2 linked regions of the Cricetulus griseus genome follow. The protein of the gene in region 1 interacts with the protein of each later gene in a pairwise test. Links are inferred from orthologs where the notes say so. Each region holds a gene or a part of one and is shown on either strand. Other genes may lie near its edges.

Region 1 (9,399 bases):
GGAACAGGAGCCAGTCTACCAGGCTCATGTCTCAGTTTCCCAAATTGTCAAATAGGATGATGACTAAAAACATAGGTAATATTATGAGTATGCATAAAAAGGACACAGGCCCCTTGCTTGGAGAACAGCAGCTATAAATTATGGGATGGAGAGCCTCAAAAGGATGGTAGTAGTTTCATCCGGATTACAAAGCAGCAGTCACGGGGGCAGAGAACTGAGTGGATACAGACCATGCAGCCAGGAATAGACCTTGACAACCGAGACACAGCTTTACCCTGCCCAATGGAAAGAAGTCCCTCTCTCCTGTTTCAGTGTCTTCAGGAGAATGAGTCATTTCTTTGATTCCCAGGACCCAGAGCCAAGTGTAACTGGTTGCCTACAACTTCCAACTCCAATGTCTGAATCATCTCTGCTGGTGCTCCTCCAGCCTGAGTAGGGGGGCCTTCCTGGACTTGATCTCTCTGCATCCACACTTAGGGGCCAGGTACCCCACCTCTACCCCCTCCTGGTACTACTTCCTTCTCCACTTATGCTATAGATCCCCCCAAGGGCTGAGAACCAAGTTTCCACATGCTCACAGGCTGCTGAGCTGAGTGGCAACTCAGTAGGGCTGAGACACGAGTCATCACTCTGAAGGTGATGACTCTTAGGTCTGCCTTAGTGGCCATTCCAGGTAGCAGGTCTCCCCACCCACTCCTAGATCAGTCAGGGCTATTCTGGAAACAAGTCTCTGGCTAGAGCTACTTTGCCTTGGGACCTCCCCTTTCTGTCCGACTTTCTGTCTTCCTTCAGCAGCTAGTGGAAACTCAAAGTCCAATTCCCAGAGACCATCAGCTCTGGCCACAGTTTCCATAACAACAAGGATGAAGGAAATGATTTGTTAAGGCTCCCTGCTCTGCCCAACTTTCCTCTTTCCTTCCAATTCTAACCCAGCTGCTGGCCCCTCCCCTCCTGACTGCCCCTTTGGGGTGAGTATCCTGTTAGTTGGAGGCACAGAGTATGTACCATCTGTCAGCAGTAAGGACTGAGCCCCGGGCAGCAGACAGGCATAAAAACAGAGGGAAGGGGAATGCTGATGTTGAAGGGAACAGGGCTATCTGAGGGGGAGCTCTGGGCCCTTCACACTGTCTGGCAGGGGCCACCAGGTGGGCACACCTCACATCACATCCTTGTGCTCTTGCTTGGACTCCTTAATGACCTGCAGGGGACAGGGAAGGTGCACAGTGCACAGTTAGGGGTGACATAGCTCCCAGACCCACCATGCTAGGCTGTGCATCCTGAGGCAAGCTCCCAACTATCCTGACCTGTCCTCCCTTGACTGTCATTGTAATTGCATCATGCTGAGGTCCAATTGGGGTGTGAAATGCCACTTGTAAAGCATCTAACACCATGCCTGACACTATGGCACAGGAGAAGCTATCTCTGTTGCCACCCCAACAAATAGAGAAGGCCATGCATGCTGTGTCTATCTCCTGTTCCCATTCCTCTCTGGAAAGCTCCTTTGAGTAAGATTTGAAGGCCTTTTCTTTCCCTAACTGTCCCAGTCAGAGCTGAGCCATCAGGAGGCCTTGGTACCCGGGTTGCCCTTAACACACCACCTGAGGAAGGGTTGGGAAAGGAGAATTGCATTCAAGGTCAATCCCTTCTTCCAAATTTCCATTGGGAGCCCCGGTAGTTAGTTAATAGGGACCTTCTGTGAGCTAGTCCCAGGCTTTCTGCAGTCTCGCTTCAGGAACTCCTGGGGGCAACCAGAGCCTTTGCTCACCTCACCGTCCCGCATCTCCACCGTCTTCACCACGATGTTCCTCTTGAGGTGCCCTTCTGAGACGGACTTGGTGTCCAAGCTGGTTTCTGCAGGTGCGAGGAGAGGAGGCCTCAGTGGGCTCTTGGGGCACTAAACAGCCTGTCCTGTATCCAGCTTCCCATCATGCACCCAGGGGCATGAATACAGGGCTATCTAACTAGGTAGGGAGAGGCTCAGTTTGCCCAAAGTGGCTGGAGACTCCCAACTGCCCCCCAGCACAGACACATCTTACTGCTGTCCTGTAGCCCACGCGGCCTTCTATTCTGGCACCTGGCTTCCTGACAACCAAGGGCTACATCAAGATAGAGGCCTCAGTTTCCTCTCTTACAAAAAGTGCTCACGGTGCCTACTTCCCTGGAGATGGTGATGGGGTGACTAACACATGTTAACATGTGCCACAATTAGTGATTAATACGTGTGGGACCCTTCCCCATCCTTACCTTTTTCTGTCACTTATCTGGACTCTAGTGGCCCTTGACTGTCTAGAATTTGGCACTATTACTTTTACCTGGTCAGCATAATTAACTTTCTAATGCTGAATTACATCTTGAAATATGTATGGCCAATATTCCTACGTGAAATTTCCTCCCTGCATCTAAGAATCACTTAAGGGCCACATACCAGTAAAAAGTAATTTGGTCCATCCCCCTTAGAGAGGAAAATAGAACATGTCACACTCAGTAATATTTAAAATGAAGAGCAGGGAACATAAAACTTTATTCACTACAAGAGCAGCAGTCCAGAGGGAGCTAATCCTCTGGGCTGAGTCAGCATTGAGTGAAACAACAGAGCCTTGGGGACCCATGAATCAAACACAGAGCCTGCCCAGAGGCACTGCAAGACCCAAGGGGACCACCTAGTGACAGCAAAGAGGTGAGGCAGAGGCTGGCATTTGCTCAGCAGGAACATTTACTCCCAGGGACAAGTCCCCTTTAACATAGGCTAGCTCTGTTGGTATAACCTAATCACACATAGCCAGGACGGGCTTGGGACTGAAGCTTCTGGAGAAAGGTCCCTGTCCTTTAGAGGAGGCCAAGAGGAGTGGGGAAATAGGCTTGATGATGCTCTCTCCCTGTCTAGCTGGGATAACACACAGCTGAAAAGCAGGCATCTATCTAACCGAGAGTTGGCGGGGCTGCGTTTACAATCTGGTGAGCCTGTATTGGTATAACTTGTACTGTGAGCCTTTTGAGATGCCTTGTGACTTTGTGGCCTTCCCCTTCTTTGGTGCTTTTGTCTCCTGTAGTGACAAGCAGTTCAAAACAAAACAAAACGTAAAACATTGAGAAGGGCAGAGCTTGTTCATGGCTAGCAGACCTGGCATCAGTCGAGACCTCACCAGTTCTGCAAGGGTACAGCTAGGGGTTGGGGGCATAGGGCAGAGTGAGACAGGGACAGCTATAAGCCCTAGGATGCTGTGCTCTACGTAGGATTAGTGGAAGGTCTTAAAGGCTCCCAAGGAGAACTTGGATTCCTTTGCCCCCAGTCCCCAAGAGCAGTCCACAGGCCTGGGGGAGGAGGTAGCTATTCAATACCCTTTCCCACAAGGCCCCACTATACTGACCTCGGATCTGCAGGTTGGAGAAAGTTTGTACAGGGATGGTGATGCTGAAAGACAGTGAGGGATGGGGGTGATGAGGCCAGAACATTCCCAGATCACAGCATGAAAATCTCAAAGTCCTTTGCCAGGCCAGCCTGGTTCCATTCCCTACATCCCTCCCCCTCTGTCTCTCTGTCTCTCTCTCCCCTCACCTCAGGTCTTTCAGACAAAGGTCTCTCTATGCAGTGTTGGCTGGCCTCACACTCATAGAGATCTGCCTGCCTCTTCCTCTCAAGTGCTGGGATTAAAGTAATGAACTACATATATATGGCAGAAGTGGGTGTTGGATCCCCTGGAACCGGAGCGTTACTACAGAACATTGCAAGCTGTCATGTGGATACTAGGAACCTAACCCTAACCACACAGCAACCTCCAACCTCCTCCACCTAAATTTCAGCCCAGAAGCTAATACTCTCCTGCAGCTGGAAAAATCTGCAAGGAGCTTGTGTATTATCTGCCCCCACAGAATACCTCCAGGAAGGAGCATGGAGGCTTGGCAGGTGGGCGGGAGAAGTCCCATCTTTGTTGGCTAGCCTTGGGAGTCAGCCTCTTAGTTTGGGGGAATAGCTCAAGTCCTCAGCCCTGGAACTTAATACTGGTTGAATGAATCTATCTGTCTGTCTGTCTGTCTATCTATCTATCTATCTATCTATCTATCTATCTATCTATCTATCTATCCTTCAGTCATTTCTTGAATACCTATTATGCCTTAGGCTGGACTTTGGGGGTGGAAGGAATACAAGGCTACTGGAGTACCTTAGGGGGAATTCTAAGGAGAAAAAACAGCTCTAAGGAGATGAGCTCACCGGTTTTCCTCGCCCTCTAGCAATTTCCTGTAGGTGGCAATCTCGATGTCCAGTGCTAGCTTGACGTTGAGTAGATCCTGGTATTCCTGCAGGTGGCGAGCCATCTCCTCTTTGAGGCTTTGGCCCTCCTCCTCCAGCCGGGCGAGCGCCTCCTGGTAACTTGCCGACTCCCGCGCGTGGCGCTCGTCCTGTTCACGCATTTGCCTCTCTAGGGACTCATTCTGCCGGATGGAACCGACTGATCACTTGGTCCGGTGATTCCAAGGGGCTTTGAGGCCCCACCCTCAGCCTCAGCCCCCTACCCACCTCCAACTTTTCAGATTCCTTCCTCCCTTTACCACTCTTCATCTACCCTCAACCCTCCCAACCCCCCCCCGCCCGGTCCCCTTCCAGCAACATCTTGGGTGACGGCTGCCCCCATCCGACCAGTGGTCCCTGCCTGTGCTCACCGTGCCGCGCAAGGACTCCAGGTCGCAGGTCAAGGCCTGCAGTTGGCGGCGATAGTCATTAGCCTCGTGCTTAGCCTGGCGGAGCAGCTCTGCGTTGCGGGAAGCAGCATCTGTGAGGTCTGCAAACTAAATCGAAAGAGGAACTGAAGTCGAAGGGAGGGCTGGAGCCTCCCATCGGCACAGTGCACAAACCAGGTTGCTGCCTGGGATGGGGGATAGACACGGTCTCTGGAAAATCAGAAAAGTGGGGTCGACCTCAGGTCTCTCCCAGGTGCAGCAACTGTAACCGAAGGATTTATCAGGCCTTCAACATGTTCAGGCTGTCACTGGCTTCTGCGGCTCAAACTGGACTCTGTGCCCTGGCCAGCAACACCTCCAGTCTCTGCTTTTCTGTCTCAGGCCTCCTCACAACGCCTGTTCTCTACTTGAGACGCCCTTCCCTCTTCTCTTGAGTCTCTAAGCTGCCTGTTTAGCACAAGCCCCTGTTTCCCAGTCTGTATAAACTCTGATATCTCCTTGACCAAATAAATGTTTCTCTGTATCTTGGGGAGTACCCGGCACACAGTAGACGTTCAGGAACACAGGACACAGACTGGCAGAGGCATCAAAAAGGCAGGCTCTCAAATGAGATGGGTTAGGATTAGAAACTTTATCCCTTGTTCACTTAGGAGCTGTGTGACATTGTGCAAACTAGTTAACCTTTAACCTTGCTGGTTAAAAATAGTAGTAGCAATAACAATGAGTAGTTTGGGAAGTCGTAATGCCTGTGTGGTCCTGGGCAAGCCATCTCACTTCTCTGAGCAAGCTGGTCACCTAGATAGGTTATTTTCCAAGCCTCCTTCCCTATTCCCCAGTGTGGATCAGGAAGGGCTGCCTGGAAGAGGCAGGCTAGCCCACGGGTACCTTGGACCGATACCACTCCTCTGTCTCTTGCATGTTACTGGTGGCCACTGCCTCGTATTGAGTTCGAATCTCTCTCAGGGCCGCTGTGAGGTCTGGCTTGGCCACATCCATCTCCACGTGGACCTGCTGTTGGGCCAGCTGCTCCCGGAGTTCTCGAACTTCCTAATAGGGTAAAAGAAGGGGTATCTCAGGCCCAGGCTACAGCTGGGGCTCTCCCAGCATCACACTTTTGCCTGCCCAGATATGTCACTGGCTCAGGGAAATGGGGCAGCCTTTACTGGAGGAAGTGCATAGCCTAAGCTAATGGGCATGTGCCATTTAACCTTTAACCCTAGCATGTGAGAGGCTGGAGCAGGCAGTCCTCTATGATTTTGAAGCCAGTCTGCTCTACATAGAATGTTCCAGGCAAGCCAAGGCTACACAGTGAGACCCTGTTAAAAAGTAGAAATAAAAACCCTAATGGGTATGGAATGAGAATCTGAGGGCGTCTTCCTCCCAGGGCTGTGTGTTCAGGAGCCAGGCATGAATATGTCCTGCATCCTGGCTCTGAGGTCAGAGAACAGAGGGGTGTGTGTGTGTGTGTGTATTTGAGACAGGGTCTCATGGAGACCAGGCTGATCTCAAATCTTCTGTGTAGCTGAAATTGGCCTTAAACACTTTGAGCTTCCTACCTCTACCTCCCAAATGCTGAGATGGCATGTCCTCAGAGGGGTTTTCATGACTGTCTCCCATCTTCCTGGTGACAAGTGGGGGAGAGGGTGAAACCAGACAGGCTGTGTGACTTTGGGGTGGTTGTTTTGTTTTGTTTTGTTTTTAACTTCTCTAGGATTCAACATCCTTCCTGTTATGAAAGGAGACCACAAGAAGGGCTCACAGAGCTGATGTGGAGAAGAAACTAAAGACCTGGCCTTGTGCTTCTCAAAACATGGTGGTGGGGGAGGGCCTGTGTGCATTTTCCAGGGGTAGGAGACACTGGAAAACACCTCCCTTGGTCTCTCTGTCTTCACTCTTTCTCTTTCATTTTCTTTCTTCCTGACAGTTGGCTTCTCTGTTTCCCTCTCTAAGTATCTATCTGTCCATCTGTCTGTCTCTTTCATTTGAAGATTCTTGTTTGGCCTCCCTCGTTCCACCTGGCCTCACCTCCTCATGGACCTTCCTCAAGAACTGTATCTCCTCCTCCAGCGACTCAATCTTCCTCTCCAGGTCCAGACGGGCCATGGTAGCTTCATCTGCCTCCTGGAGTGGGGAGAGGGCCTTTTTTGACCCCAGAGCCCACCCCACTACAACCTCCAGTTTTGTCTTCTCCCTCCTTGTGGGGGTCTGGGAAGCAGGCAACTGCAGTGAAGGGTTAAGTTCAGGGCCTATGTCTGGGTGGGCAGTCATTAACCCCACCCCCAAGCCCTACCCCCAACACACACACCCCCACCCCAGCTGCCCATCCCTCCCATCTCTCTGACCTGTCTATAGGCAGCCAGGTTGTTCTCAGCCTCCAGCCTCAAATTGGTTTCATCTTGGAGCCTGGGATATGGGACACAGTATGGGCTTAATGCTTTCCTAAGAACTCTTATTAGATCCCTGTCCCAACCTCTATGGAATTGACTGTCATAAAACACTCTCACAGGACCCACAGAGTGGCAGGAGACGTAAGGAGCAGAGGCTTCCTAAACAGAGGCCCTGGCTGAGAGAGTAAGCAGCAGATAAGAGTTTCTGCCTTAACTCATTACTGAGGTGCCTTATCGGGGTTGGTGCACCTGCTCATGCTCGCACAGGCGCATCCACCACCATGTGCACGCTTTACAGACACCAGTGCACCTCCTGCACTATATGGGCACACGAATGTCCACCACTCAGCAAAGCACCATGCCCCAGAGTTCCACCTTTTAGGACAGATTGTATCATGACCTCTCCTTCACAGCTATGACAAAAACTGGTGACAGACAGTCATCGGGGTTCTGCACCCAGGCCTGCCCTTTCTTTCATTCTCTCTATTTCAGAGACCAGAGCCTCCTTGTGGACATAAGCCTTCACTCGTCAGATTCACAGTGCCAAATGAATGAAAAAGCAGAGCACCTGCTGGCTGGTGCCCTCGCTGCCCACACAGCCTTCCCCAGTGTGGAGATGTCCCGCGTGCCAGGCTCCCTGGCAGCAGACCTTTGGGAATCAGATCGCTGAAGTTCTGGCCTCTCCCTGCCTATTCCCATCATATTAGGGAGCAAAGATAGCTCTCCCTTTCCCAGGCATGGGGAAATGCAGCAGCTGAAACGCCGAGCCCTTGCCAGAGTCAGTACCCTTCCTTATAGGCATCCCTCTCGGTTCTGTCTAGCCATTTTCCCTGACCCCCTCCTCACTTCTGCCTCAGGGTGCCCAGGTCCTGTGCCAGATTGTCCCTCTCCACCTCCAACCGGGCACTGTTGGCAGTAAGGTGGTCCAGCCGCAGCCGCAGCTCTCGCAGCTCTGCCTGGTAGACGTCCGCCAGTTTGGTGGGCTCCTTGGCACGAAGCTGGTTCAGCTCAGCTGCCAGTGCTTTGTTTTGCTGTTCCAGGAAGCGGACCTTCTCGATGTAGCTAGCAAAGCGGTCGTTGAGCTCCATCATCTCAGCGCGCTCACTGGCCCGAGTCTCCTTGAAGCCAGCATTGAGAGCCCCGGCCAGGGAGAAGTCCACCCTGGCAGGGAGTGGAGGAGGCATTCGAGCCAAAGAGAAGCGTGGGATGGTACCCAGGTGGCGGCTGGGACCCAGGCCCCTGACCACCGTCTCGGAGGAGGCATAGGAGCGACGTGCAGAGGTGATGCGTCTTCGCTCCATCCTGCCCTGGCCCTGCTGGCTCTGGGGATGTCAGAGTTTTATGGAGGAATGGGCTGAACTGGCTCTGCCCTGACTTCCTGGCAGCACCCCACTGAATAGACTGAGGGGGTGGAGCTGGGCCCTAGCCCAGCTACGGGGAGAGCTCCTCTCACCCCACTGAGGTCTTTGTACTAGAGTCAAGGTTTCCCTGGGCACACCAGCTTGGCTTCACCAGTGATGAAGAAAAACCCCTTTCTGGTAAGATGGGTCAAGAGAGGGCTAGAGTGGCTGAGGAAACAGCCCATAAATTGCTTGCCTGTCAAGCATGAAGACTCAAGTTCTAGTCACAGAATGAAAACAAAAGGTCAGGTCTGACGATGTGTACTTGTAACTCCAGTGCTGGGGAAAGAAAACCAGGAGGATCCTTGGGTCTCACTGATTAATGGGTGAGTTCCAGGTCCCAGAGAGAAACGATGTCTCAAAGAAAACCAAGGCAACAGTGTCTGAGGAACAATACCTGATGCTGACATTTAACCTCAGTGCACATGGGCCCACACAGGAATATCTTGCAATGAACAAGCATTTGTGTGTAGGTGCACTCGAGCATGTGAGCAAACACGCACGCGCGCGCACACACACACACACACACACACACACACACACACACACACGAGAGAGAGAGAGAGAGAGAGAGAGAGAGAGAGAGAGAGAGAGAGGGTGAGCACGAGCTGGGTTGGGTGAGCTGCCCCCTGCTCTTAGCGTCTAGAAGCCAGGGCTACCCTCATTCTGCACTTTTCCATGGGCCTGTGAGATGCTAGGAACTTGAAGAATCTATGCCCTGCCTCCAGGATCAGCCTATATGATAGTTTCCTGCTGACTCCCATTCCCAACAGGTGTCCAGAGTCCTCTCCCTGCCATCCTGTCTTCTCATTCCTGGAGTTCAGGAGTGAAGGGCTGGGCTTGGGGCCCTCCCTATGACTCCAGGGCCAGCCTGGGCCTCTAGCTGTGTGTCTAAGGGGCAAGACAGAAGGAATGCATGAGGACCCTAATAGGGT
Region 2 (11,025 bases), on another chromosome or scaffold:
TTCTCTGGGGGGCCGAGGGGGGGGCAGCAAAGCAATCTAACAAAGAGAACTCCTGATGGAAATAATTTTCAACAGCCACATCACTCTGAACAATACCTTCTTCCCCTACTACCCTGGGTTTTGTACATTAAACTTTGTTTTTTTCTCTCTCTCCCTTTTTTGATAAGGTAGCCCAGGCAGGCCTTTAAATCAAGATCCTCCTGCTTTTACTTGAGAGTTCTGGGATTACAGGTGTGGTCACACTGACTAGCTTTTTTTTTTTAAGCTTTGAATTTTTAAAATGACACAAGCGACTGGGGATGCAGCTCAACAGTAGAACACGTTTTAGCAGAGAGGCCCTGGGCTCCATGTTTCACTCTACCTCCAACAGAACAAGATTACAGAAGAAGACAAACATTCTTCCTATGTTAGTTTACCTCTCGTATTTCCAGATACAGTCCATACTCTACTTATTGTATGCTCTTGTTTAGGGCGTAGCTCAGTGGTGGACACAAGCTCATGGAGCCGTGGGTTCAAACCTCTAGCACCACCACTCACTCACCAAATCTATTAGAGTCTTCAGTTTACTTTTACGTCCAGATGTGTAGACACTACATACAACACAGTGAAAATGTAATTACTTGCCTTTTTGTCACCACAATTACTTTCCTAAAGGTTCCAGTCTAGGATGGGAAGATGGACTTGCCTTTTTGTCACCACAATTACTTTCCTAAAGGTTCCAGTCTAGGATGGGAAGATGGCCCACTGGGCACAGGCACTTGCTCTGCGAGTGTGGTGATCTGAACACATGTAAAACATGGAGGGCACTGATTCTACAAAGCTGTCCCCTGACCTCCACACGCATGGCATGTCACACACGTGCAATCTCTCCAGCCTACAATAATACAACTTTTAAAAGTTATTTTTAAAAGACAACTCCAGCGGCAGAGGCAGGCAGACATCTGAGCTCGAGGCCAGGAAGGTCTACAGAGTGAGCTCCAGGACAGCCAGGGCTACATAGAGAAACCCTGTCTTGACTGGGTGGTGATGATGCACACCTTCAATCCTAGCACCAGTGAGTTCAAGGCCAGCCTGCTCTACAGAGTGAGTTCTAGGACAGCCAGGGCCACAGAAAAACCCTGATCAAAAAAAAAAAAAAAAAAAAAAGAAAAGAAAACCAAAAACACCTGTTTGGACCTGAGGAGGAGATGGTTCAGTTGGTAGAGCGCTGCTCGTGTGCACAAAGTCCTGGGTACCATCCCCAGCACTATTATAATTAGGCATGATGGCACACACTTGTAATCAAAGCATCGAGGAGGTAGAGGCAGGAGGATTCTAACTTTAACACCATACTTAGCTACACCGCAAATTTTAAGACCAGCCTGGGCCACATGAGAACTGTCTCAAAAAAGAAAGAAGGAAAAGGTTTTTTCAAAGTTCTACCTGTGTGTATTCAAATCTATTGTTTCTTTTGGAAGTTTATCTGAGTCACAATTTTTTTTGGGGGGGGGCAAATGAGTCCCAGATTCAGAACATTCCAGAACTCAAGACTTGGCCTATGTTTGTTAAGAATGTCAAAGATACAGAAGAAACTTAGAAACCAAGGTCAGGCAATTATAAACATAGTGAGTGAGCAACTTTCACTTTACCCTGTTCTTCAGGATGAGACCCCCACACACACATACCCCCACATGTCTCTGGAGCAAACTGAGATTAGGAAGGCATACCTGAGGTAGGTGGGGGGCTCTGTGCTGATGGACACAGCCTTGTATTTCTCATCGTTGCCATCCAGAATCTCTTCTACCTCCGAGGCTTTCAGTAGCGTCACGCTGGTGGCGAGGGTGGTGTACCCATGATCTGTAAGCAGAGAAACCCCACTGTGGTCATCCTGCAGCAGTGTGAACAAGCTGACAACCAACTTGATACAGCACACGAGGTCCTCACATGCAGGAGGTGGGGAAAGCAAGGTGTCAAACTCAGTACTGCTGAGTGCTAGCCTCTTCCAAAAGGGCAATCCGGACTGAGGCTTTACCTAGACATCTCAGTGGAGAAAGCCTCTGGTGGGATGGATTTGGACGAATTTGCCTCTTAAGAGCACTAGCTCTGGGGCAGACATGTTTGGGGGTAGCTGCAGCTTAGGGGCTGCCAGGAAGGCTTCAGAGTAACACCCCAGTGGGAAGAGGTCTGACACCACCACAATCTAAAACACAAAGCAAGATGGGAGACAGAATGAAAGATGAATCCTCTTCTTTTAAAACAAGAGCCCAGAGAGTTGGAAAGAACTATTTCACACCAAGCAAAAGTTACCATCCCTGAGTCAGGCCAGATGTGGTTGTCTGGAAAACAAGACAGAACTTCACACCACGTGATATGCCTCCCCCCCCCTCCCCGCCCAGTTCTAGGGAACCTCTGTCAAGCGCTGCTACTTATCTGCAGGACCTGCTTAGCTTTGCTGGAGGACTCACTTGGTTATAGGAAAGGAAGGCACATGGTAGCAAGACCACTAAGGCTTCATGGGAACTCAAGGAAGGGCAGGCAAAGCTAGGTAGCCACCATGCTAGTGACTATATTCCACTTTTGGCAGAGGGGACACAAAGGAAACTGTTTCAGGCAATAGTGGATTCTTTCAGAAGTGGATAAAAAGCAGCTCTGGCTCCTGCATTAAAAGAACCCCAATACACCACAACAGACAACTACATTAGCACATTAGCACCTACTGACAAGACAGACTACAGAGTGCTCATGAGCACGCATGCATGCACGGACACATGCACCCAGGCCCAGGGCAGCTCTCTACAGGGTGCCTCTGCTGAGTGGAAAGCAGTTTTGCCACCGGCCAAATGGCATGTTGCGCCCATACCCAAATGTTCTTCCTAGAGGCCCCAAAATGTATGAAGAGCATCTTCACTCTGCACAGAGTTGCCACAGCCCAGACCTTGCACTAGTTTCACTAGCACCAGGTGGCTCACCTAGCAAGCCCCAGGCACAGGGCAGGCCACGTGGAATGGGTACATGCACATGAGCTTAGCATACTGGTTGCCAAGATGAAGTATTATGAGATAAATGTGCTCTGGGAGGGAAGCGGTGAAAGCCCCAGAAGAAAGTGAGGGCTGGGGCCACCGTCTGCTACTAGGGCTGCAAGAAGGACGACTACGGCAACACACTCACAGCAAATGGTAGCAAATCACAGCATTCCTAAAACGTTTTGAGACCAACATGTCTTCACAGCACCTGCTACTACCCTGGCCCTGGCCCTGGCCCCTCACATACCCACTGGCCCAGCCAGGAACACACAACAGTGGAGCACCAAAGACTCGCTGAGCTACTCTCAACTGAACCATGTGTGCGCTGGCAGGGTGGCCTGCCCCTGGGATGCTCCCTACCGAACTAAGGTCAGGCTGCAATGAAGACACTGGAGTGAAAACGTTTTATCTTCATGACATAAGCGAGTGGTTTTGAAACAGGTTTACAAACCCTCGTGAAGACGCACCCTTAGTGTTAGGTTTTGTTTTTTTACCATGTGACGATGCAACTATTTTCTTCCTCTCTTCCACAGTGGCTAGTCGCCTCCAGAGTGAGGGATATCTCTTGTACAGAGAACCTCGGAACATACGGAGGTAGTTTCCCACCTATGAGTAAAGCAAGAAGGCTCATTATGAGGGTCAGACCATCGATCACTATGCCGAAGGGCTCTGGCAGAGAGGATTTGCTGGATCAAGTACATGAGATACAAGGCCTCCAGACGCCAGCCTGTCAGCAGCCATAAAACACATTTTGCTGACATCAAGGGTTCAACAGCAGTGCACATCTGGCTGGAATCTGTGTATCCTGACATCAGAACCAAGTTCCAAAAGATCTGACCAGATGTCTATTGGGGAGGATCCCAGACCTCAGTAAGGAGCTTGTGATGTCGATCAGGACGAAAGATTTCTTGGCACTTTTCTGAAATCTGAGACTCCTGTGACCTCCTTTCATCTTAAGAAGCAGACTTTGATATTTTTACAAGGCAATAAACACCAAAATGTCTTTAATTTTAGACAGATGCAAGATAATTTGTCCCGCTGCCTGTGTTGCTTTATTTAGTAACAAAACTCAAACCAGAGACACCAAAAGAATTTTCTCAAGTCTAAAAAGCCCTATATTAGTAATCCCTGGACTATCTTAGAAATCACTACTTCCCCCGAGTAATAGCTTAGTTTGCTTGTAGCAACACTTAAGGACACCCTTCATGAAAAGCTAGTCCTATGATTTTTATAAAGATCCATGGCCTCACTGACTTCAGAAATGATGTCTGCAGTGTCACACAGTGGGGACAACCAGGGGACACGGTGCAAGGTGCTGGCTCCAGCTGCAAATCTAGGCCTCTTTACCTATGTAGCCTTGGCTAGCCTGTAACTGGTTATGTACACTAGGCTGGCCTTGAACTCACTGGGATGGGCCTGCCCCTGCTTCCCAAGTGCTGGGATTAAAGGTGACGCCAGGCCCTCCAATCTGAATTCTGCTCTAGAGAGGATCACTTGTGTTATTTTTTCACCTTCTCTACCTATCATAGCGTATGTTTATTAAGAGGAAGTCATCTCTCTACTTTTCTTCCAGAAGAGACTAACAACAGCCAGAGCTGCTGAGCCCAAGAGCTGAACAGTCTGTACACAGACAGAAAAGACTCCTTGTTGCTATTTGGTTTGTAGGTCGTAACCATCCAAAGGAACCATCCAAAGGAAAAGTCAGCATTGTTGTCCTCTAGGACTACTGTGAGGGTCCTGCAGGGTATCTGTACCACAGAGCCTTCCTGAGGTCCCTGCAGAGCTTAGCACACTAGGGCCTGCTGGCTTGACTTTTCCTAAGTCAGTCTTTGCCCTCTCTGGAAAACAAAATAAAGATGTTGGATTTGGGTATTCATTTCTTCAAAGTTTAGTGACTCGTGTGGCACATGATAGAACCACTGCTGATGCCCTCCCCACGACCTCGAGTTCTTCCCCAAACCAGAGCCAGGCCCCAAAGTCCATTTTGGTACTGGGGGAATTATTCTCATTCAACTGGGAGGGCCAAGAGTAAACAGAAAGAAGGCAGTTTAGCTTTGTAAAACCTAAAACATGCTACAACGATGACCTCAAAAAACCATGCATGTCCAGTTTAAGCATCTCATATACATGAGAAAAATGGAACCAGACAGGCACAGAGTTCAATGGAGGAGCTGTGTGTTTAGCACAATGCTCTAGGTTCAATTTCTAGCACCAGAAAAAAGTTGGGGAAGGGAGAGGGAAGAAGGAGAGGGTAGGAGGAAAAGCAAGCTGTCACTTAGCCTCCTGGGGGTTTTTCCCACCTAACCTGCTATCTTTTAATTGCTCCACCAGATGAGAATCTTCTTTTCAAAACTACCACCACCGACTTAGAGTTAAGGCCAGATTTACCCTTTCATATGTTAGGTCAGGTAAACATTTCTTTCAACAAGTTATTCTACATGGAATGTTGAAACTCAATTGCTTTACATAACCTGCATTTGAGCAGATGCCTATTGGCCAACAAGGACCATTCCCAGCTGTGGGAGATGCCCAGGCACTGACTACAAGTCCCCAGCACAGCCACTGTGGAACAGCAGCACCGAAGGGATGCTGCAAACATGTCATGGCAGTTCCTACTTTTTGTTTAGTGAAAATGGGAACCCCTAAGTCCTGATGCTTCTGACAACATTGGCCCCATTACCTGGTACAGCTACGTCAAGAATCATGAAGTGTCCTGAAAGCCTCGGTCTACTATGGTTTTATTCATCATGCAGCACTAAGCTGTCAGAAACAAAATAAAAACCTAGCACACAACCAAAAGCCAACCACACACTAATGAAATGGAGTCTATGACATTGAACATGGCGGCCAGGGAAACTTTAGCTCTCCAGTGTGGAGAGCACTTACCTCCTTACTGACTGACATCCACACATCTGAATTTCATGCCCATATCTCTTTTTTTCTTTTGAGATGGGGTCACACTATGTAGGTAAGGCTGAACTCAAACGTACTCTCTACCTCCTGAGTGCTCAGATTAAAGGTGCACTCCACTGCCTGGCCACCCATACCTTTTCTTTCTTTCGTCTTTTGAAAAAGAGGCACATAAACCTGGTGTGGTACACATGCCATTATTGATCCCAGAACTTGGGAGTCAGAGGTCAGGTGGATTTTTATGAGTTCAAGGCTAACCAGGGTTACACTACAAGATCTTGTCTCAAAAATGGGGGGGGGGGGCAGGGAGGATGACCATAAATAGTTGCTGGTTTGCCCTTAGATGGAAGGCTAGTTTGATTCGATCTGAAAACAAAACAAAAAACAACCCAAAACACCTTTATACAACTTGGCTGGTCCGAAGGACCAATTGTAGGGTTTTCCTAAGAAAACTCGTTTATCTGATTCAACAGAGGCTGTCTCTTCTAGTTATGGATTAGCTATCCTTCAGATTTTTATTCCCTACAAAAACTCAAAATCAGATATCTAAAGTGTTGGTACTCGGGCCCTCGTCCACCCAAAAGCAAACGCCCCTTCTCTCCTAGCACTTTCTACAGATAATGAGCATCATAACGCTTCCGCATCCCACTTCAGAGGCGAGGAAACAAAGCGGAGGGGGGGAGGAGGAGGCCTTCCCTAAACCTCGTGCAACCAGAGATTTCAAGACCCTGGCGGTGGGGTGCACGACAGCTGCCCAGGGTTCCAGGAGCACGACTGCACCTCCACCTCCGAGCGCCCGGGGGGCTTTCCTAACATCCTTTTCGCATCAGCCCGGGGGTGCACCGGCTGGACGCCCTGAGCTGGGGCCGAGAGAACAAGGGTGAAGAAGAAAAGCAAACCCAGAGGGTCCAGGAGGCTCGGGGCCCGGCCACGCCCACCAGGCCACGCCCCAAACGCGAGCACGCGCCCGCCGCCCGCGCCTCCGCGATGAATGGAGGCGCGCACTCGGGGGACGCAGGCCCGCCGCGGGCTCGAGCCGGCGAGCCGCTGCCCTGCCGGGAAGCCGAGACAACGCGCCGCGGGCTACCTCGGAGCCGATCATGTAGAACTCTCCGTCGTCCTCCAGCTGGAACTTGACGGGCTTCTGCCCGAAGGTCTTGCTCAGCGCCATCATCATCATGGCGGCGGGGGAAAACGGGCAGCCGGGGTCGAGCTGGAAAGAATCCGGTGGGCTGGGGCGGGGCCGAGGTGCGTTGGGCCGAAGGGAACGGAGGCCGGGAGGTGGAAGGTCGGGCAGGGCAAGCCAAGCGGGCGGGAGAGCGGGCGGGCGGGCGCTCGTGCCACTACTGGGCTCCTTTAGCGGCCGTGCAAACGAGCAGGCCACCCTCCGTGCGCATGCGCGGTACGGGGGGGGGGACGCCAACGTGCGCGCCGCCACCTGCGCGACACAAGGCCGAGCGCGTTCCCGCGGGCCCTTAAAGGAACCCGAGCGCTTTTCGCTCCCGGGGGACGGGAAGCGGGGGTGTGGGAGCGGCCTCCCTTGTCTGTGATGAAGGGAGACTTCTCAGGGACATAAATAGCCACCCAGGCCCCGACTCGGGCGGTGACCCTCCTAGTCGCACAGCCAGGGCTGGCACTCGGCCCGGGGGTACGCGGGGAGGAGGAGGACCGCTCCTGGCGACCCCAGGCTGGCGCCTCAGGTTCTCCCCCGGAAGTGCTCTAGGAACGGCTGTCTCCGCTGCAGGCCCAAATAGGGACGGGAAGCATGACCGTCCTGGAAGGGGGTCGGTGCCTTGTGCCAAGTGGACGGGAAGGACCGCTTGCGTTCTTCCCTTAGCTCTTCAGCCCTGCGCCGAGCCTCTGCCCCTGGGGCCTGCCTTACCAGCCCTGAGGGAAGACAGTGCCGCGGGAAAACGCCCAAGCAGCCCTGAATCTGTTGTCTCAAAAATGTTTGAGTAATGTTTATTGTAGCGCTGTTGCCAGAGCTAAGTTAAAGCCCCCGCCCAGGTAGCTATTCAGCAATAGAAGAGCGGATAAAGAAAATGAGGTATAATAGGCCAGGTTTGGGGGCGCAGGCCTTTTAGTTCCAGCCCCCCGGGAGGCAGAGGCAGGTGGATTTGTGTGCGTTAGAGGCCAGCCTGATCTCCAGAGTGAGCTCAAGGACATCCAGGGCTATGTAGACACACACTGTCTCAGAAAACAAACAAAAAAGGAAAAAAAAAAAAGAAAGTGAAATGTGTTGTGTACACAATGGATTTTTTTTTTTTAGCTACAAAACGAAATAATATTAACTGAAGAAAAATGGATGCACCTGGAGATAATCACATTAAACAAATTAAGCCAATCTCAGAAAGATAAATGTGTTTTCTCTCATTTGTGGTTTCTAGATTTTTTTATAGATACATAAATTATGTATTGCACTGAACATGAGCAGAGCGTTGGTGGCACACGCCTTTAATCCCAGCACTCGGGAGGCAGAGGCAGGTGGATCTCTGTGAGTTCGAGGCCAGTCTGGTCTCCGGAGCGAGTGCCAGGACAGGCTCCAAAGCTACACAGAGAAACCCTGTCTCGAAAAACCAAAACAAACAAAAACACAAATACACAGAACATAAAAGTAAAAGTGACATTGTGTAGGTGAGCAAAGGAACTATCAGGAGCTGGAGGAGAGTTAAGGAGAGGTTGGGGTCATGGGGGAATGTGCAAAACATACACTTCTATGAAAGTTGAAAACCAGTGGCCAGTTAGTGACCCCGGTGACTATTTCATGAGAGTCTGTCTAATGAGATTGCAGTGGTGTCAGAGTCATTATGAAGGAGATGCTAAGAGCTAGGAAGGGCCGTGGCAACCGTGAGTTTTGTTCACTGTTCTCACAGCAGTGGGAACCAGAGTTTTAAGTTACGGGCCAGGCATGGAGGCTTACACTTTTAATCCTAACACCCCAGAACCCCAAAGTCATAAGCAGGCAGATCTCTGAGTTCTAGGACAGCCAGGGATCTATGAGACCATACCTGCCCCCCCACCCCAAGGAAGGGGTAGTTTAGACATGATTGTATCAAATGACCTGCTTTGGGAGGGTATCAGGAGCAGATGAGGACACAGGCAACCAGTTTAAAAGCCACTGGAGGTGCCCCTCTCTACTTGTGCATTAATGGAGTAGGAGAAACCTTAAACATTGGTCCTAGCACCAGGAAACAGTCTTAGGTGGTGAAGGGTTTGACTCTAGCTCCCAAATCCTGACTGCAATTGCAAAGATAAACCAGACAGACGCTTAGAAAACACTCACGTTTAATGACAGTCTCAGCTTTTTTTTAAAAAAAAAAAAAAGGCTTTATACACTGTATACACATTTATATGGCTTTGGAAGGTACCTGTGCTAGGAAGAGCGCCCCCACCAGGAAGAAATGGCCCGGGACAAGGCTCTGAGGTATGTGGGACCTCTGAGGTTCAGTGTCTCCCAGAGGAAGCAGAAGCAGCTGCCTCCCTGGCTGGCTGGCTGGCTGGCTGTGTACCTTTTGGCTGGGAAATCTATCTCTGATTCACCTGCCAGAAGTCTATCGGTCCAGCATCTCCCCAGAGCTGACTTATTAGGAAAGATACTGCCCTGAGGCCCAGCTGATTGGCTGGGGCAGAATGGTACCCTGGGGATTTCATCACTACCACCACTACCCACAAGAGCCTCCTTATAAAAATGAAGACACTGTGGTCCCCACATTCATTTGGAGAGGTTCTGCTTTGAGGGGCAGAGATGAGGCCGTGGGCAGTCAGGTTGACTATAATCTACATAAGTGGTATATTGTTGGCCTAAGACCGCCCTTATTTTTAAGTCACACCAAAGCCTTTGCCCAGTCTAAGGCAGTCGCTGACAGGTGACCATGACCAGCATGGCCCTCCTTGCAAATGGTGCCATAACCCAACCCACTCCCCTGAGGAGACATAGGCTCTGTCTGTCCCATGCCTGAAGCCACAAAGATGGTGGCTGTGGGTCTCTTTAATGATATAAGTGACCTGGCAGGGGGTCAGTAGCCCTGAGTATGTCCAAAGTGTTGTCAACGGAATGTATTGGCGGGTTCTGCACAGTCAAAGAAGTCAGGGCCTATAAGGCGAGGAAAGCCCTCCAAAACCTTCACCTTCACAGGGTCAAACTTCCAGTAGAGATGGCCACGCAGGAAGTAGGCATAGCCTGAGGAGAGAAGGAGGTGAGGCTGGGTAAGCAGATACTGGGCTCTGCACCTGCCTGTCAGGCTGAGCCTGAGGAATGATGTTGTGCTGAGTGAGCAGGCCATGGCCACTGCTGGATTCTTTGGAATCTGCACAGCTGGATATAGTGGCTTTCATGTCTGTACTCCCTGCACTCAGGAGGTAGAGGCAGGAGGAGAAAGAGTTCAAGGGCATCCTTGGCTACATAACAAGTTTGAAGCCAGCCTGGGCTACATTTATTTACTTCCTGTGCCTTCAAAACAAAATAAATGTGCAGACTCCAGAGCTTGCTTACCAAAACCTCCTTTCCCTTCACGGAGCCCTTCTGCCTGCCCCCAGGGTCTGGTCCAGTAGGTACTGGGAACCTCAGATCAGGAAAGAAAGTACTACTTCCAGTACCAAGCTCCCCTTCACTTCCACACCTGCCCACAGACCACAGAAAACAATACCAGAGGTAGAGAGCTTGATGCTACTCAAAGCAGTTCTCCCAATGAGTCCCAGTGTGAGTGAGCACAGAAGCAAAGGAGAGTAGCAAGCAAGAGAGCACTGGGCTTGTCTCTAGTTCCCTGCACTAGAAGCAGGGGGAAGCCTGGTGGTCCAGTGGTTAGGAGCAGTAACTGATGGGAATCCTGGCTCTCCCATTGTTTATCTGGTATGGTTAGTGACCTCACTGCCCGTTCTTCTGTTTGACCCTCTGAACCTATGCCAGCAAGAGCTGTTATGGCCAGACATGGTGGTGCACTCTTTATCCCAGCATGTGGAGGTAGCAGTAGGCAGATTTCTATGAGTTCAAGCCCAGCATGGTCTACAGGGCAAGTCCCAGTTTAGTCCAGGATACATAGTAAGACCTTGCCTCAAACAAACAAACAGACAGACAGACAGAGCTGTTGTGACATCAGAAGGCTGTTCTGAGAGT

What was found. The genes of interacting proteins can lie anywhere in the genome.
Region 2: the proteins of Gfap (region 1) and Smarcb1 interact in binary tests that used the Homo sapiens proteins (3 or more experiments, as listed by UniProt). The link is inferred for Cricetulus griseus from reciprocal best matches to the Homo sapiens genes GFAP and SMARCB1.

Annotation. Positions count from the first base shown.
Region 1 is NC_048600.1:115,224,202-115,233,600, reverse strand, and holds Gfap (glial fibrillary acidic protein), read right to left. Parts: upstream 8,366-9,399; coding exon 7,911-8,365; intron 7,081-7,910; coding exon 7,020-7,080; intron 6,799-7,019; coding exon 6,703-6,798; intron 5,725-6,702; coding exon 5,563-5,724; intron 5,201-5,562; exon of another isoform or gene 4,786-5,200; coding exon 4,660-4,785; exon of another isoform or gene 4,432-4,659; coding exon 4,211-4,431; exon of another isoform or gene 3,413-4,210; coding exon 3,369-3,412; exon of another isoform or gene 3,045-3,368; coding exon 2,925-3,044; exon of another isoform or gene 1,852-2,924; coding exon 1,766-1,851; exon of another isoform or gene 1,199-1,765; coding exon 1,157-1,198; downstream 1-1,156.
Region 2 is NW_023276806.1:262,697,767-262,708,791, reverse strand, and holds the start of Smarcb1 (SWI/SNF-related matrix-associated actin-dependent regulator of chromatin subfamily B member 1), read right to left. Parts: upstream 7,311-11,025; 5' UTR 7,093-7,310; coding exon 7,000-7,092; intron 3,609-6,999; coding exon 3,470-3,608; intron 1,837-3,469; coding exon 1,707-1,836; intron 1-1,706. Other genes in the region: Mmp11 (stromelysin-3), read right to left, coding at 9,959-10,092.